3 linked regions of the Pelodiscus sinensis genome follow. The protein of the gene in region 1 purifies or fractionates together with the protein of each later gene. This does not show direct contact. Links are inferred from orthologs where the notes say so. Each region holds a gene or a part of one and is shown on either strand. Other genes may lie near its edges.

Region 1 (6,168 bases):
ACAGAAGAGTTAGGCAGGTATCCTATTATGGATTAAAGCCAGATACGAAACAGGGTGCAGATAGATCTCAACACTTGTCACTTCCACTAGCCAAAACCCAACCCAATCCACCCACTAATCCCATACTGAATCTGGAACCTTTGCTTACCTCACGGAGGCTGATCTTAGCTGGGAAAATAATGTCAGATCCATCTCTCTTAAAGACATTGTGTGGCTTGTCTTTTAAAACAAAGACAATGTCAGCTGGAATGTTGTTTGCTGTTTGGTCCCCCTCTTTTGGAAAAGTAATCTTTGTTCCTTCTTTCCACCCTCGTTTGACTTCAATGGTCAGAATCTTGTCCTCATTCCGTGTGGTCTTCCCATCTGTATTAAGTCGTTTGTGAGATATTTTCATTTTCTTGGTGCAACCAGTATATATTTCCTCCAAGGAAACCCTCAGTTCATGAATGACAGGAGGGTCTTGTTTTTTGCGCATACTTTCATGGCCCGAGCGGGAACGAGGGAAACCCATATTACTAAAGCCCCCCATTTGAAATGTGGAGAAAGGGTCATCAACATCCATGTCTTCATCTCCATTCCTTTGTACAAAAAAGGTATCAAATGGGTTCCTGCCACCAAAGAACTCTGCAAACATAGCATGAGGATCTCCATGAAACGTGTAGCTGAATGAGGTACCATTGGAACTTCCGCCACTGCTGGGACCACCTCCCTTTAGTCCTGAAAAAACAGAATGAATATAATCCAGTGATTACTCATAAGAATTTATTAAACTCAAGATTTACCAAATGTCTCCTATATCTTTCTTAATTTCAAGACTCTCCTCATTCTTAGATCCTGGGAATGTCATTATTTAGAACTTTAGGTTTGATGTGCATCACCAAAGAGGCCTGCTGTCATCTTAAAATGGTGTCAAGATTCAGACCTCCCTAGTCAAAAAAGAAATTAGAGCCAAGTTGAAGAGCTCTTCTCTCTCAATTACTGAGTTTCCTAACATAATAATTTATAATCAACTGTATTCCTTTAATTGGCATTAAACCTAGCTCATCTATATAGAGCCATTGTAGCAAAAATAATTTAATCTGAGTGCCTGGAGACTACAACTATATTCTTCCTGCTTCAATAAAACACTGTTACGGAGCAAGTTTCATAATTTAACATACACAGGCAAACAAATACAGTATATTAGAATCTTCTAGTGACAAGCAAAACCATTCTGTAGTCAGCTCCGCCTCTTCTGGAAAAGTGGCCTATCAGCTCATATGGGGAAATCATTAAGTATTTACAGGAAAGGCAATGTAGAGAAACAAACATGGGAAGTCAGCAACTGAAAAGCAATTCAAAACACAAATTTTGGAAAATAATTTAAGGGAAATTATCTACAATTCTATTAGCTGGAAAAAGCAACTATTTTTAAAAAATATTAAAAATCATACTCTTTCAGCATCAGATGTTAACAGTTGAGTTGGCCAACCTAGCTGTTTAAATACAGAGAAATCTAGCTCCCTTGTTTGAGTAATCTAAATGGATGAGACTACACCCTAAAAAAAAAAAAAATCTGTACTAATGTTAAATTAGAGATTTGATGCAGACTTTTAATGCCTTAATTTGGAGGAAGTCAGGCAGGCTTTGCACATGGACTTCACAATAAGTCTCCCAAAGAGACTATTTTCCTTCCACTATTTGATCTGAGGAAGTGGGTCTGGGCCACGAAAACTCATTATCTAATAAACCATCTTGTTAGTCTTTAAAGTGCTACATAGTCCTGTATTTTGTTCAAAAGAGTCTGACACTTGTGTTTTATTAATAGTTTTAACAGGCTATGTTATTAATGCAACAGGACGCTCTGAGATAAAAGAAACTGGCTAATTCCTAAATTCACTAATAGGACTAGTTCTACTTCCTTTCACAATTAGCTCTGTACACATCTCCCTGTTACTATGAGTCTTATTTTTCTGACAGCCACTTCGCTATCCCATGCTACTGACAGTATCTACAGGCTACACGGGAAAGCTGAATCCCTTTACTGTACATGCCCATTCAGGGTTCAGTACTGTTCCCTGAAAACCAACTAGATGCACTCCTTTCCAGACAAAAATGAATGAATTTCAGAAGCAAAGGATTAAAGAGAGACTAGCCACTAGTAAATACTTTGCTTCTCTGTCACTCCCTGGATTGCATCAAGAAAGAAAACCACTCCATCTTGTGTGTAAGAGATACACAGTTCCCTCTCCACAAAGTTTGGGAGTGCCCCATTAGGACATATGTTCCTCTTCCCCAATCTTAGTGCTACCCCTCACTTCATGGAAAGTACTTCCAGAATACCCAGCAGCATGACATTCAGCTATTTCTAACCACCTCCTTCCTACCTATCACCAGGTACTAAGCTGCATCAGAATGTCCTTCCCACGGGTATGCGGTCTTCCCCGGAACAGGGCCTCCTCGCACAGAGGCTCTGCACCCCAAACCTTAGCGCACCATCCCCCTGCTTACCAGCCCCCCCCAGCGCTGCACCGCTGAAAGACAGCCCCCCCCCCCGCCTTCTTCCCCAGAGCCCCAGTGTATAGGGCGTCCCCCTCCCCCCATCACGTCAGCGCCCTTCGCCACACCACGGGGGCAGCCCCCCAATTCCTGCTGCGCAGCCCCCCCATCCACAGCGAGCGACACACGCCCCCTGCCCCATCTCCCCCACCAAGCTCTGCCGGACCCCCCCGCGGCCCGCGCCCACACGCCGCCCCTCACCTTCCTCGCCGAACTTGTCGAAGATCTCCCGCTTCTTGGGGTCGCTGAGCACGTCGTAGGCCTCGGCGATCTCCTTGAAGCGCTCCTCGGCGCTCGGGTCCTTGTTCTTGTCGGGGTGGTAGCGCAGCGCCTGCTTGCGGTAGGCCCGCTTAATGTCGTCGTCCGAGGCGCCCCGGGACAAGCCCAGCGTCCGGTAATAGTCCTTGCCCATGGCTCCCAGCTGCGCGTCTCACACCCCGTCAGCGGTTCCCGTCACTCCAGCGCGGCGCCCGCCGCCACCCCCCATTTATATGACGGGTGGCGGAACCTTCCAGAGCTCGCCACAGCTCTCCAGAACCTTCCCCGCCCGGACCCCGCCTCCCGCCCGCCTCCCCCAATCACAGCGCGGGGCCTGCCGCTCTCCGCCAGTGGGGACAGAGCCTGCGTCACGTGACCGCACACTTACCCCCCCCCCAGAGCTTAACCGTCGCTGAGACCACGCCCCTCACTCGTCATCAAGTGAGGGGTGGGAAGGGGACAGAAGCGCGCGCTGTGAGACCAACGGTCGTTGCCGGTCACTGTCCCGACTCCCCCCACTCTCTCAGGCCGCGAGCCTGGTGGGACCAGTTGCCGACTCTCCGAGCGTTCTCGCCCCGCCCCCAGGGGGGGCGGGGCCGAGCTGAAACCCTAAACATCAATTCTGCCTCGGCTTTCTTTTGCATCCTAGGCACTGACCACGCCCACCGGCAAAAGCCACGCCCCGGGGTGGGCCTTTAGCAAGGAAAGGAGCAGTCTGGAGCCACGCCCCCGCCCAGTGCATCCCTCATCCCATGTCCCACAGCCCCCACCAGCATCCCTCACCTAAGGTCAACCCCCCCCCCCCCCCCCCCCCCGGCTAGTGGCACCCACCCCATCAGGTCTCACAGGCTCGCCTTCCCCTCCAAAGGCGCCGGTCATTAGGGATGTTAAAATACGTGTCATTTGGTAAACGTTCGGTTACACGCCGGGCACAGCCAGCTCCCAGGTGCAGGTGTGTGCTGGGAACTGAGTACAGGCTCCTGTCTGTTGCCCCCCTCTGCTGCCTTCACCAGAGTGCAGGGCAGCAGGAGGGTCCCTGAGACCTGTGTGTAACTGTTTGGGTAACCAATAACTTACGCTTACGCTTGCAACCCTACTCATCCGGATTCCAAACCTGTCACCTCCTCACCAGGGACATCCAGCCCTGGATTCTGTTTGTTCAAGTTTATTAAAGGACTCCCAGAGGGGAGATAGCACAGGATGTTTGGGAAGGGGAAGGCAAAGGTCAGAGTACCCGAGCTTGCAGAAAGCTGGAGCTTATATTATGCAAGTCAGAATGGCCATAGAGTACCGCACACAGGACTCTGAACCCAGCCCAAAGGGTGCTGCAGAGCGATGAGGAAAGAGAGGCAGGGAAATGCATGTAGGCAGGGCCGGATTAAGGTAATGAGGGGCTTAAGGCTAGTGGGAGGGAAGGGCCTAAGTATGAATTATATATTGCAAAAAAATTATGAAGTCATCAAACATTTATCTTTATACATATTTACATAAAACTAAACATTTATTCTACTCCCTACACTCAAACCATTTCTTCCCACTTTAGCTGTGGAAAAATCTGAATTATGTCATCATAGTTCTCAATGCTCCAGAAGCACAAAGCACTGAGATGCTCTTGAGTCACAGTGGATCAGAGGACATTTTTCACCCTTGTTAGAAAAGAAAAGGAACATTCTCCACTATAAAAGCTTAAAAAACCTCAACAATGGTCCTGTAACACCTTAGAGACTAACCAAAACAACTCACTTCTTCAGATGACAAAAAAATGGAGAAAGGCACAGAGCTTCAAATACAGTAAAAACTGTGTTATCCAGCATGCTCGGGGATTAACGCGTTCCGGTTATCTAAAAATTCCAGTTGTCTGAGGGTCCCATCAACCTAGGAAAAACCAATGGACAATAATAGTAAAACTCAAGTTTTTAATATTGGTAGTTTTGTAGTGTGAGGCAGTTGGTCTCACATTTCTATTTTGAGTTAAAGATTAGTACTTAAATAAAAAATTGTTAAGGCAATCAGTAAACTAAACCAGGCCTGTGTGCCTGAATGTGTGACAGTATTGTGGCTGGGGGCAATGCCAGTTAAAGTTTTCTAGTTATCCATCACTCTGTTAACAAAGGTTTCACTGTAAAAAGCAGAAAAAGAAAGAAAAAGACGGAAAAAAAAAGTCAAAGCATCTCTCCTAAATGAGGCTGAGTGGGTGGGATTATGATGGGCCAATGGTTAGAACAGAAGAGTGGGAACAAGGACATATAGGTTTTATCTGATTTGGGGAGTATGCTTTGTGATTAGACCAGCGCACTGGGAACCAAGACTATGACTCATTGTATGACCTAGGGCAGACCACGCCATCTCTGCCTCAGTTTGCATATCTGGAAAATGGGTACAATTGTGGTAAGGGTGAGGTTTCTGTAGTGTGACAAGCACTCGGTGAACTTCTGATACAGACCATCTGTCATTGCCTAGTTGCATGCTGTCTGACTGGCTGGACGTGTGGGGTAAAATAGGTGTTAGCCCACTTCACTAATGGTAACACTGGAAATTCTTTGCTCTTACTGAGCTTCTCATCAGCAGAAATCAAAGCATTTGCCAAAGGAAGTCAGTATTACAAAGGGGCAGTGCAAGATGCTGCCCCTCTGGTTCGGGCAGATTTTGACAAGCTTTTGAGAATGCAAGCTCTTTGGATCAGAGAGCATGGCCAAGAATCTGAGCTGAGTTACACCAGTGCAAACTAGGGACACAGATCTTGCTGGGTGGAAGGGCAGACATGGGGGGGGGGTGTTTCTGAGCAAAGCACCTCCCGGTTGCTGTTTGTTCCATGGTATCCAGGCACACAAGACACTTAACTAACCAAGGTCACATGGTTAAAAGCTGCTTCCTCCCAGATCCATGGTAGGGAGCAGGGCTGCCTATTTTGAAATGTACAAGAGTCCCCAGTGGGGACTCCTATGCATTTCAAAGGGAAAGTGCTGCATGGAGCCTGGGATCAGCCCCACTGGGTACTCTTGTACATTTCAAAGGTGGAAATCCCATTGACTATTCTATTAGTTAATCAAAATTTAACACCCCAAGTGTAGAGCAATTCATTTGAGCCCCTTATTTTCCTATTTAAGTGGCTACCATATCATTGGTCCTGTGATGTAGAACATGATTTGCCTAACAGCGGGGAAGGTGAATTGTCACAGGAAAATGGAAAAGGAGAGGCTGCTGGTTGGAAGAAAACATGTAGAAATACAGGTTCTGCTGCTGAAGATAATGCTCAGGGATTGCATCCCCAGCTTTCCAGGATGGAGAAAGCCTGCCAGGAAAGAGATGGGTTGGTCTCAGCAGCTAAGGCAGGAAGAGTTGGAGGAGTGGCAGACAGGGAAACAGACCATC
Region 2 (6,168 bases), on another chromosome or scaffold:
TCTGTTTTTTTGGGTTTTCGGGACAGTCCGGTACATGTCTGGTATTTTCTAGTTTTCTGTCTGGGTGCCCGACGGAAGCCTGGCGGGGGCTGTGGGAGTGGCTGGGAGGTGGGGCACGATCAGCGCTGAGAACCTCTGGTTGCGTGTGATGCCTTGGGGAGGAAGGGAAGCCCTGTACGTGCTCCTGAGCGCTATTCTAGCGCGTGGTGGTGCCTCAGCCAAACTCACTCGTGCTTCGCTGGGACTGTGCGCGGGACGGGCAGCGCCCTGGTAGCGGCATGTGCCTGGGTCAGTCCCGCTCCCCACCAGCCAATTCATGCTCTCCCTGCCCCCTCCCAGCCGACTGGTTCTCCCCCACTTCTCCTCCTGATCTTCCCCGGCCAGCCCCAATGTACCCAACCTCTCCCTTCCTCCCCCCGCCACCCCTGCTTCCCGCTGGCCGGTTTCCCTGCCCGATCTCCCCCGGCCAGCCCCGCTGCCCCCAAATCCCCCTTTATTCATGGGGTGGGGGTCACACAAATTCATGTAGAATTTTAGGGGGTTGCAGTATTACAAAGTTTGAGAACCCCTGGACTACTCGATAAGGGCGCTTCCGCCTTTGAAGTGTAGCAACAACCCCAGGGCAGTTGCTACATTTCAAAGGCGAAAGCGCTACAGGGATCACGAGCCCAGTCAAGCAGTCCCCACTGGCCCCATGGCATTTCAAGTGGAGCCCCCCCCTCCCCTGCTGACTCTGCATGTGGCGTTTCAAAGCAGCAGCTCCAGGCTCCACGTGGCGCTGCCACTTTGAAGCACTTTTCTCTTCCCCCACCTTGCTGCCTCTTTCAGAAAGGGAGGGAGAAGTGACTAGTCAGCGAGCTGTTCACATCCCTAGTCAGCCCTGATACTCGCAGTCGCGAGGGAAGACGACGGGGACTGGCACTAAGCTCGGCTGAAGGTAAGCAGACTCCAGCTACATGTGTTACGCCAGTGTGGACCTGGACTGAGGATGAGCAGTGAGAGAAAGGGAAAAGCCACCATAGCTCACCAGCCCCATTTCCCAGGGCACCCAGGTGTTCCGGAGAGGAACTCAATAGCTTGCACATCTGCTGGGATCACAAGCAAGTGGACTCGAGCATCGTTATCGCCTTTGCCTCCCGTTTCTGGACACCAGGATGCTATTAGCTCTTCCAGTCCTCAGGAAGAGGCCTGACCTTTCCCGGGCAGCCTGCAATGCCCTGCCCTCGCTCACCTTGAAGGCCCCCAAGTTCCTGTCGGACGGCGCGCTGGCCAGGACGTTGGCAGCTTTGACTTTTCCTGAAAACACAGAGCAGAGGTAAGCCGCTGCTTAAGGGGCATGGAGAGAATCCTGCGATGCCTCAAACATGCTCAGACTAGAGACTCGTACCAAGGCCCAATTCCAAGCCTGTTCGTGCCCAGCGTTAGCTGCCCACCAGCCAGCGTGAGATTCCTAACGGCCGCGGAAGGGCGGAGAGGCAGGCAGCTAACCAGGGCACACGGGCTATGCGCGCTGCGGGCAGCGATGCCAGGCGATTGCAGGGAACTTCCTTTTGCCACAGGAGGGCAGTGGTGGCAGCAGGCCTGGAATGGCCTTGGTAAAACGCACACCTGTGCGGCAGGTATCGTGGGAACAGCCAGACAGCTCTCTGTGGCCTCCCCGCCCTAGGATCCCAGAGTCATTGATTAACTGGGCCTGAGCAGAGAGCCAACGACTTATCGCACAGCAAGGACCCGCAGCCGCTTCTGGGATGGGAGCATGGCAAGGGCCTTACAGAGATCCCTCAGCCCCTAGGAGCCATAACTGGGACAGGGCTCGGGACCGCAGGCGCCTCCACTGCTGGGCACAGCAGCTATTTCTAGGGGCTCGTTCACCAAGCACCCAGCTGCAGCTGTCCCGTGGGGTGGGATGCAGGGGGCTGGTTCTACAGGGATCCATTGCCCAGAACTGGGATGTCTTCTGCGGGGTGAGACACAGGGTTACACAGCAGCACGGCACGAGTTGGGGGGGGGGCCCTTGTGTTGGGGCAGGTGCTGCTTGCAGAGGGACCCCCATGGAGGGGAAGGGGGGGCCTGTAGCATGGGAACTCGCTTATCCAGCAGGGTGGGGGGTGGTTCTGGTGTGAGGGCCCCCGGCGAGGGCTCCCAGCTGGGATGGGGGGAGGGGGTCTAGTTACCCAGGGCCCCCGGCGAGGGCTCCCAGCTGGGATGGGGGGGTCTAGTTACCCAGGGCCCCCGGCGAGGGCTCCCAGCTGGGATGGGGGGGGGGGGGTCTAGTTACCCAGGGCCCCCGGCGAGGGCTCCCAGCTGGGATGGGGGGGGGTCTAGTTACCCAGGGCCCCCGGCGAGGGCTCCCAGCTGGGATGGGGGGGGTCTAGTTACCCAGGGCCCCCGGCGAGGGCTCCCAGCTGGGATGGGGGGGGGGGTCTAGTTACCCAGGGCCCCCGGCGAGGGCTCCCAGCTGGGATGGGGGGGGGGGGTCTAGTTACCCAGGGCCCCCGGGCGAGGGCTCCCAGCTGGGATGGGGGGGGGGGTCTAGTTACCCAGGGCCCCGGCGAGGGCTCCCAGCTGGGATGGGGGGGGTCTAGTTACCCAGGGCCCCCGGCGAGGGCTCCCAGCTGGGATGGGGGGGGGGGGTCTAGTTACCCAGGGCCCCCGGCGAGGGCTCCCAGCTGGGATGGGGGGGGGGGGTCTAGTTACCCAGGGCCCCCGGCGAGGGCTCCCAGCTGGGACGGGGGGGTCTAGTTACCCAGGGCCCCCGGCGAGGGCTCCCAGCTGGGATGGGGGGGGGGTCTAGTTACCCAGGCCCCCGGCGAGGGCTCCCAGCTGGGATGGGGGGGGGGGGTCTAGTTACCCAGGGCCCCCGGCGAGGGCTCCCAGCTGGGATGGGGGGGGGGGGTCTAGTTACCCAGGGCCCCCGGCGAGGGCTCCCAGCTGGGATGGGGGGGGGGGGTCTAGTTACCCAGGGCCCCCGGCGAGGGCTCCCAGCTGGGATGGGGGGGGGTCTAGTTACCCAGGGCCCCCGGCGAGGGCTCCCAGCTGGGATGGGGGGGGTCTAGTTACCCAGGCACCCTCTGCTGGGGCTCCCCTCGGGAAGGGGGGGCTGGTTACCCAGGGACCCCCAGCAGGTGGGGTGGGGGGGGAGGGGAGAGGAGGGGGGCGGGGCTCTCCCAAACCCCGCGCCTACCTGCGCGCACCGCGCCCTGCGCCACCCCTTGGGCCATGTGCCCGGCGCCCACGAACCCGATCCGCAGCTCCCCGCGCGCCTCCATCCCAGCCGGCTCTCCCACGTGACCCGCCCACCACGTGGCTACCGCCGGACCCGCCCCCAGCGTCGCGGGCTCCGCTCGGCCTCACCCCGCCTTCACCTCCGGATTGGCTGCCGCCGCGTGCGACGTCATCGGGCGCCGGATTCATAAGCGCCCGGGGGAACGAGGCGCTTCTCCCCAGGGGCGGAGTCAGGTGAGTGACCGCCCCACGTGGGGTCCTGGTGGGGGCGTGGTCTCCGTTCTCCTCTTGCCTTCGCAGCGCAGGGATGCTCCAGGCTGGCAGCGCTGCATCTGGCTGCTCCCCCCCCCCCTAGTCATCTGGGATCAGCAGCGCCCACACACAGCTCCCCCCGCCCTGCTGCCAGCTGTGTCCGCAGCTGGGCTGTGTATGGGCCCCAGGCGAGCTGTCACTCAAGCTGCCCCCTCTATCCCCCCCCCATCTCCTGGGCCGGTTGCTGGGGGCGGAGCAGGGTCAGGGTCAGGGCTTGGGCCTTCTGCGGTGGGCATGTGAATTCAGGCCCCTAGGGCGCCCCCAGACCCTGCACCCCCCCAGGTAGGACCTGGTGTGTCTGCTTCTGCATCCAAAGATCAGCTCTGTTCCACAACCAGATTTGTTTTTCTTGTGAGGGGCCGTGGCACGGCTGTTCAAAGGCCCCAGAGACACCCCCACCCCCCAATATCTGGTGGCTCAAGCCAGGAACACCTGGGTTTTGTTCTGAGGTCCGTCACAGTCTGTGGCCTCAGTTTCCCTTTCTGGGAAACATGAATGGTCTTCCCCATGGTGCATGGGTTGTATGAACAAATCTGACCGCAAAGCGTCAGATGGAAGGGCCTTTGAGCTACAATGTACAACGTGCTGACGTGGCACCTTCTGGCCTGAAAGGCAGCAAAACCAACAGAGATTGGGGTTTGGAAAATGCTTTCCACAGACACATTCATTTCATGTGGTTGAACTTGCGTGTTGGCTGGTCTGATCCATTCCTCACATCCCTTTCTGTGGCTGTTCCCTACTCAGAGAGGGGAAAGGCTTCTCTGATAAGACTCTCTTGTCTGGCTTCATGATGGCCAAAGTCAGGAGCAACGTTTGAATGCATGGCGCTACCCCCGGAAGTGTGCTGCCCTCGGATAGAAAGGATCTGACAGTTTTTGCGGAAAAGTGTCCGTGCCAATCTAGACACGGTTTTGCGCAAGAAAGCCCCAATCGCCATTTTCGCCATCAGGGCTTTTTTGCGCAAAACAATACTGCGTTGTCTACACTGGTCCATTTGCGCAAGAGGGCTTTTTCCCGAACGGGAGCAGCATAGCATTTCCGCAAGAACACTGACAATCTTACATGAGATCGTCAGTGTTCTTGCGGAAATTCAAGTGGCCAGTGTAGACAGCTGGCAAGTTTTTCCGCAAAAGCAACTGCTTCTGCGGAAAAACTTGCCAGTCTAGATGCAGCCTAAGGGAATTAATTGAGCCCGACAGTGGATGAAGGAGGAGACCTTTTCTCCTGTCTTGGTTGGGGAACAGGACCTGACCCGGAAGCCTAACTCAATTGCTCCTGGGGGGCTTTTCCTCTTTAAGTGTTTTGTTACGGTCCAAGGGGTGAAATGCAAGCTGCAGTGACAGGTATGTATGCAACAGCACTGGCCCTAACCACTCCAGGCTCCTACCCTTGCAGCCTGGCTCCCTGCTTAAAACCAGCTGCAGAAAAATCTAGAGAATGTGCCTTAATGTTACCTTGTGGAGGGCCACAGCAGCTTCTGGTTCTGTACACCGGAGACACAAGGCAGCTGCATGCTCATGTGTGGCCCATGGAGACTGATCAGTCCAGCATGCATCCAAGTGGAACTTTGTAAGTTTCCATGAGGCCTGTGCCCTCTGGGTGTGTTCTAGCAATCGGATCATTCCTTCCTCTCAGAGATGCCGGAGGAAACCCAGGAGGACTCATGAGCCCTTCACACAAACATCAGCGGTGTTTGTATTATTGTAGCACCCGAGGGCTGTGTCTCCGCTTGTGGCTTCTTGCACAAGTACAGCCGTTCTTGCGCAAGAATCCGCAGAGCGTCCACACTGCCCGCCCGCTCTTGTGCAAGGACATTTACAGTACGGCGTGGTAAGAGAGGGCGTCTTGCACAAGAGCTACGCTCTTTTTTTAACAGGTGTAAGCCCTTGTGCAGGGGCTCTTGCACAAGAAGGCAGTGTGGATGCTGGGCAGGGATTTCTTGCGCAAGGAAGCCCTATGGCTAAAATGGCCATCAGAACTTTCTTGTGCAAGAGAGCGTCCGCACTGCCATGGGCGCTCTTGCACAAAAGCACAGCTCGTACATGGCAGTGTGGACGTGATCTTGCACGAGAAGCCGCCAGTGTAGACATAGCAGGTGTGGCGTTGTTAGGCGCTGCCCAAACACAGAAGAAAAAGACCATCCCTTTCCCAATGAGCTTCTGATCCAAGCATGCGATGAGGTCACAGGTGGGCGCACACAGGGAGTACCAGGCAACAGCGAGACGGTGGGATCGGTGTGGCAGGCCGTGATCTCGGCACAGCTGTTATCACGTCAGGCTGGTGCTATTCACTCACTTCTTCCAGTTGGAAGGGGTTAGCCTGCTCCTGGTTGGGCCACGCTCTCAGCTCAATACGGTGCTCATTAGAGCTGTTCTGTGCCGACCCGCCTAGGCAGGGGGACCTGCTATATTAACAGAGCCAGGCTGAGCTATCGGAGGTCAGGGAGCGGTGCGGGGCGCAGGGGGTTGGCTGTAACGCTGCTGCCCAGTAGCTGGAACTCCCTGGGCTCTTCTCCGTTGGGACTCTGTCTCTTCTCTCCCTGCAGGATCCCTCTCCATGCCCCAAGATGCTGCCCCTGGCTCACCGGGTTCTCCTCCTTCCTACCCTCCTCTCCCTCCTCGTCATTCCCTC
Region 3 (6,168 bases), on another chromosome or scaffold:
ATTCTCACTGGTTGTTTTAGAAGACTCATCAAATCCAGATCCAAAAACTGAGTTATATTATAGCTAAATGGCAAATAAAGATAGTTCAATGCAGTTTTCAGGGATTTATGGATGGCAGTATAAAGAAAAAAATCTCTCATTTATCTAATCAATATCTGTCTTTCAAGTCTCATAGCTACCTTCCAATAAGAGGACAGTCTGAACTTGAGGGATTCTTTCCTAGATGCCCAGTGCCACAAGAAAATGGACACAACCAAGTCATTCTATATTACAATACTGCTACATTATAAAACTAAAAACACATTAAGGTGAAATGGATGGAACCAAATCAAAAACAAATGAAAAGCCAACCTTTTATATTTAATCTTTTGATTAGAACAATACATTATAAATATGTCAATGCTGGTGTAAAGCTGATGGATCTAACCTTGCATTTGGCCAATAATCTTAAATTTCCAGTCTTCTTTTCATTGTTTTTCTAGTACTGTATCTTAAGTAAATTCCTGCATCTTTGAGAAACATGCTTTTTTGAAGAAAAACCAAACAGTTTGACCAAATATTACAGATTCTGATACTTATGCAATTCCTCAAGAAAACCATCTCTCTCACATAACATAGTGACCAAAATGGAAAAAACGGTGTACTGACAATTGTCATGGCAAGTGGGCAAAAATGTGGGATAGCTGCCATATATTCAAGCCAACTATTTACATCATCTCCACAATTCGAGCGAATATAAAAACACAACTTTTAATCATGTGCTGTTCATGGGAGCTATCAGTCTACATAAAGTGCAAAAAAGGAAAGCAACACCTTACATGAGGCCACTATTTTCCTAGTACTCCCATTCATCTGTTTTCATGTCTAGATAGTAAAGAATATTCTGTGCAAGCTTTACTGCCTGCTTTCTGGCAACTTTAGACCGTTCATCTCCTTGTGGATCAACAGCATCAAGTGTCAGAAGTTGCTTAGTGAGGAGCTCTTCTAGTCTCATATAGTTCTTATCAGTTCGGTTTCCATCAAAAGACAGCACTTCCCTCTGAATCTGAGACAAATGTTCAAGAACACTCCAGACTGCCTTATGGGAGTGGTGTTCTACAACAGTTTGTTCACCATACAATTTCCTTTTTTCAAGTGCTTCTTTTAAATCAATGTATGTTATAAGAGTTTGCACTTCTATCACTGCTCTTCTCCTGGCTTCTCTGATGCATGGGTTCTTTCCTGGACTCACTTCATCCAAGTGGGCAATTAAACCTTGAAGTTCTGCCTTGGATCCCAAGAACAGATCAGAAGCATTTTCTGCTCTGAAAATTAAAGAATGAACTTCTTTCATTTTTTTGCGGATCTCTTCTATTTTTAGAATGGATTGATTTTGTGCCAAGTCATAAGCATGAGCAGAGTCTGCTTCCTCTTCCAAATCCAGGTATTTCTGTAATTTATTAATCTCTTCCACCACTTCCTTTCTGTAATTTCTTATTTCTGTGTGGCCACAAACATCCAACGCATCCAAATCAGCAACCAGACCAGTAAGCACACAGGATAAATGCCTGCAAGTCTCATTATTATTTACTCCCATTAAGACTGCAATAAGAGTACCCCTCGCTTTGTTTACATCACACATAATAGAGTTAATTTTTGAGACTGAAGGATGTGCATCACTGGAGAGTGGCAAGGAAGGTTGCTGTTTTATACAGTTTTCTATAATCTCTTGAATTGCACACACTTTTGTCAGAGTGCGGTATCTTGCTTTCCGTAGCGAGATTTTTCCTCCAGTTTTCACTTGAGTAAGTCTCAATACAATATCCTGAATACCCTCTTCAAATTCATCAGTTATACAGTTGCCACCTTTATAAAAAGGTGTGATTTCACGTTCCACCAATGACTGAGCTTCCTTATATATGGCCTCTATTTCCAGTCTGTGTGGATGGTTTGCATTCTGCTCCAATTCTTTGAGTAGTCTTTCTGTTTCCTGGGCTGCTCGTTTTCTGGCTTGCTGAATATCCCCTTTTCCTTCAGTATCTACAGAATCTATTTCAAAAAGTTGTTTAGTCAGAGTCCTCTCCAGTTTCTTGTAATCCCTGTCAGAAGACAGGCCACTGAAAATCACCACCTGCTGTTCAATATCTCTGACTTCTTTCTGTATTTCTTGAAGCCTTTTGATGGAAGGGTGTTGGTTACCCATATCCATTATCTTATTTCCTCCAGTTTCAAATGAGCTGTAAAGGAGGCAAGAATGACTGATAAATTTTTAAACAAATATTTCATAATTCCAACAACTTTTATAAAGCCTCATGACACTAAAATATTTAATAAATTAACTTGACTTAAAGGTACAGAGAATGTACGAGAAAGTTAAAAAGAGTGACGCACTTAACTTCAAACCATACAGTATGTCACTGTTCTTTTGTACATCTCTCTCTAATGATGTCTGCAAGCTCCTATTAAATGATATACACTTGAACTTACACAGCTAGAAGTTTTTATTCACTCTCAGAGCTATAATGTTTACAATCAATGCAGAAAAATGGGTTATTTCAATAATGAAGAAAATTAAGGAGGCAACCTCCAATTCTTAATTTAGTGCAAGATTCCCCCCCAACTGGTAAATACTCCCCTCTCAATCACTTGCATTACTCAAAATAGGGATTATAACACTGCTGAGGCAACTAATGTTGTCAACACTTTGTGCCCATATCTATGTACCCTCAGCAAATCTAACCAGCCTTCTCCCCCATCCAGCATCCTTTGTCTGTCTACACCACCTGGCACCCTTCTCCCACATTAAACTACCCCTAAACACTTCTGCACCTCATCCAGGGCCCTTCATCCACACCCCTCGGCCCTTCACTAATCTCTCTCACGTTCCCCTCTTCGCCTTTCATCGCTTTTTTCAGCCCATTTGAGGCCCCCTCTTCCTTCCACCACCACCTGCCTGTCCTCAAGCAGCGACCACAACCATCCCCAGTACCGCGGCCCCTGCATACGATAGAGATGCGGAGTTGGCCCTGAGGTCTCCAGCCCCCACCGCAGCATGAAGGACGGCGCCTACCCTAGCCAGCAGCCTTGGAGGAAGACAATCCCCTGGAGCAGGCCCCGATCCCCCCCGGAGCCCGGGCTCGCTACATCCCTGCAGGAGGAGCCTGGATCCGCCGGGCCGCGCCACCAGCAGGGGATGACTTCACAATGGGGGCGTCCCGGGGGAACGGAGAGCGCGTGCCGGAGCCCGGGGGCGGCACCGAGCGGGGGCCTCAGGCGGCTGAGAGCGTCTCCTTTATCGCAGAGCCCCGCCCCCCCGCGGAGACCCCCCCCGCCTCCCCTCCCCCGTCCTCCATATCCCCAGGGCCCCGGCACCCAGGCCCTCTTCCCCGCCAACTCCCCATCATCAGCTGCCCCCACTCTCCAGGCAGCCAACCCCCCCGCCCCCCAACCAGCTCAGCTTCCCTCCGAGCCCCCGCCCCTCACCTGGCCCGACAGGCGCTGTTCTCCCCCCGTCCCCGACAGAACTTGGGTCCCCCCGGCGGGCCCCTCCAACCGGCCTGTACCGCGGGCCAAACGGCGGCTATCCCGAGCCCGGGAACCCCAGCCCGCCCTCACCCGGCGGGGGCCGCAGAGGGAAGAGCGCGGCGGGTGACCGGAGCTGCGCAGCCAAGAGACTGAGCCGCTCTCCCGGGTTCCCGGAGGCCGCAGCTTGCGCCGCCTGCCGCACCTCAGGGAGAAGTTTCGGGCGGCCCTCCCTTTGCGACATGGCCGTAAAGCCGCCGCCAGCGGGGAGGCGGGTGAGGCGCGATGGCGGGCGCAGCGCCTCGAGTGGGGCGTTGGTGGCTCGGCTCGCGCCGCGGCTTCTCCCGAGCAGGGGGCGGCGCGGGGCGCCTGGCCGCTGAGGGGCCCGTGCGCGGCCACAAGCCGGAGAGCCCGGTAAACAGGCGGAGGGTGCGGGGCAGGCTTCCCTGAGGCCGGGGCTGCGGTGGTTAGCGCTGGGAACTCGAGGTCCTGCCCCGTGTTTTGGGGCAGGGAGAGCCCGCCCCGCCTGGGCTGCGTTGAGGTCCAGTGGGCGCCGAGTTGCGGGGATCCCAATGGGCAGAGCGGGCGGACAAACCTCTAGCTCTTTTTCAGGAGGGCGGCCTCCCCCTTTGCCTCTGGCGTCATGCAATTGGCCCTGGGGACCCGCGGGGAGCCCCATTGTCCATCATGTTGGGTACAGGTTTGGGGCTCTCCTGGGTGCAAGCTGGGGACTGGGCATTAGTACAACCCACATGCCTGCTGGGTGTGGTTCGCTGGTGTAGTGACACTTAGACTACTTACAGAGAGAATAATGAGTTTCCTCTATTAAGGATATGTGACTAGTTGTTTCTCTCCCCCTGCCCTCTATCAGAGAGAGGCAGAAAAGGGGGGGGGGAGCAGGAGCTGGTGCTGGGGAGAGCCATCTTAAAAGCTGATCTCCCCCCCCCCCCCCCAGCACCATCTGGAGAGGGGAGGAGGGGAGGCAAAGGTGCAGCAAGGAAACTCTGCAAGCAGGGACTGCTGCTGATGGTCCTGACTGCTCCATCTTTGAAATGTACAAGAGCCCTAGGCACTCTTGTACATTTCAAAGGCAGCTGTGTAGCAGGATAGGGAGTGCCTGACTAATGGAGCAGTGGATGGAAATTCTATCAACTGACTTTTCTGTGGGTCAGTGGCCCTCAACCCAAAAAAAGGTTCCCCTCCCCTTTTGAGATTCCTGTAGTAAGCTCCACAAGTCCCATGTTTGGTTCTGTCACTGTTACATTAGGACTCATATGCTTTGTTCCCTTTTCTGGTTGGCAGTGAATCTACCAGACACTTAGAGCCTGGACTCCTGGGCTGCATCTAGACTGACAAGTTTTTCTGCTTTTGCGGAAAAATTTGCCAGCTGTCTATACTGGCTGCTTGAATTTCCGCAAGAACACTGACGATCTCATGTAAGGTTCAGTGTTCTTGCGGAAATACAATGCTGCTCCCATTCAGGCAAAAGCCCTCTTGCGCAAATGCTTTTGCGCAAGAGGGCCCATGTAGACAACGCAGTATTGTTTAGCGCAAAAAAGCCCCAATGGCGAAAATAGCGATCGGGGCTTTCTTGCGCAAAACTGCGTCTAGATTGGCACAGACGCTTTTCCGCAAAAAGTGCTTTTGCGGAAAAGCGTCCGTGCCAATCTAGACACTCTTTTCTCCAAATGCTTTTAACAGAAAAACTTTTCCGTTAAAAGCATTTGCGGAAAATCATGCCAGTCTAGACATAGCCCTGGATTCTTTTCCTGGTTCTGAGGAGGAGATGTTGGGGGGACAGAGCTGGAGCCAGGAATCTAGGGCTATATTTTCCCTGGGTTATCATGTCTCCCTGTATTACCTGGGCTTCTCTCTGTCAGCATCTCATTAACTCATGATAGGATTTTACTTGAATTTCCTGTTAAATTGTTTGAATAGGTTTTGTTAGAAAAATGTTAATAGCCTGTAGTTGACCATTTTCCAAGGGTCACAAGGAAGTCTCATTAAATCTCATTTCCAGCTCTTTATTTCTATGTGGTTCTTTATTAGCAAATAAATTAATGCGTTGCTTGGGAAACATTAAGGTCTGGTGGAACCAGCAATCAATTTGGAATCAGACCTGGTAGACTCTTAATACATTTAAAAAGGAGAAGCACAGTGAGGGAAGGGGGGGGCAGTGTGAGCCAGGAATAAGCTTTGCCAGCTTGGGTGGAGGGGTCTACTGTTGTGCATCAGCCTTTTAAATGTATTAAGAACCTCCTGGCTCTTAATACATTTAAAAGGCTGTGTACAGCACTGGGGACTCAGGGCGAGTCAGGACAGCTGGGCTCATGCCAGTCCCCACAGTCCTTCTGCCCCCCATGGAGACCAAGTGCTGAGGGGAACCAGCTTTTAAGCCAGCTCCCCACAGCACTGGCTCTTGCTGCCTCTAATAGAGGAGGAGGGTCTAGTTGCTTATATCCCTAACAGGGGTGGCTTAGATAATGATTAGTCTTGCCTCATGTAAAGGATTGGATTAAATAACTTCTTTATTTCCCTTCCTGCCCTATGTTTCTATGATTCTGTTAAAATATACAAAGTAAATATCCTTAAATTGAGCTGTAGTAAGTTCTCAAGCAACATTTTTCTTCCTTTGGATATTTATAAAATTCATTATTGATGGAAATA

Evidence for each region.
Region 2: the proteins of DNAJB1 (region 1) and PYCR3 purify together in Homo sapiens (affinity purification with mass spectrometry; 3 studies listed by BioGRID and IntAct, with this or other methods). This does not show direct contact. The link is inferred for Pelodiscus sinensis from reciprocal best matches to the Homo sapiens genes DNAJB1 and PYCR3.
Region 3: the proteins of DNAJB1 (region 1) and BAG5 purify together in Homo sapiens (affinity purification with mass spectrometry; 3 studies listed by BioGRID and IntAct, with this or other methods). This does not show direct contact. The link is inferred for Pelodiscus sinensis from reciprocal best matches to the Homo sapiens genes DNAJB1 and BAG5.

Annotation. Positions count from the first base shown.
Region 1 is NC_134729.1:10,612,264-10,618,431, forward strand, and holds the start of DNAJB1 (dnaJ homolog subfamily B member 1), read right to left. Parts: upstream 3,108-6,168; 5' UTR 2,951-3,107; coding exon 2,740-2,950; intron 718-2,739; coding exon 149-717; intron 1-148. UniProt on the Homo sapiens protein: Interacts with HSP70 and can stimulate its ATPase activity. Stimulates the association between HSC70 and HIP. Negatively regulates heat shock-induced HSF1 transcriptional activity during the attenuation and recovery phase period of the heat shock response.
Region 2 is NC_134712.1:2,162,841-2,169,008, reverse strand, and holds the start of PYCR3 (pyrroline-5-carboxylate reductase 3), read right to left. Parts: upstream 3,322-6,168; 5' UTR 3,270-3,321; coding exon 3,185-3,269; intron 1,297-3,184; coding exon 1,232-1,296; intron 1-1,231. Other genes in the region: protein brambleberry-like, read left to right, coding at 6,104-6,168.
Region 3 is NC_134714.1:20,289,840-20,296,007, reverse strand, and holds the start of BAG5 (BAG family molecular chaperone regulator 5), read right to left. Parts: upstream 4,121-6,168; 5' UTR 4,097-4,120; intron 3,916-4,096; coding exon of another isoform or gene 3,787-3,915; exon of another isoform or gene 3,777-3,786; coding exon of another isoform or gene 3,744-3,776; exon of another isoform or gene 3,463-3,743; intron 3,285-3,462; exon of another isoform or gene 3,050-3,284; intron 2,217-3,049; 5' UTR 2,189-2,216; coding exon 836-2,188; 3' UTR 1-835. Other genes in the region: COA8 (cytochrome c oxidase assembly factor 8), read left to right, coding at 3,787-3,915. UniProt on the Homo sapiens protein: Co-chaperone for HSP/HSP70 proteins. It functions as a nucleotide-exchange factor promoting the release of ADP from HSP70, thereby activating HSP70-mediated protein refolding.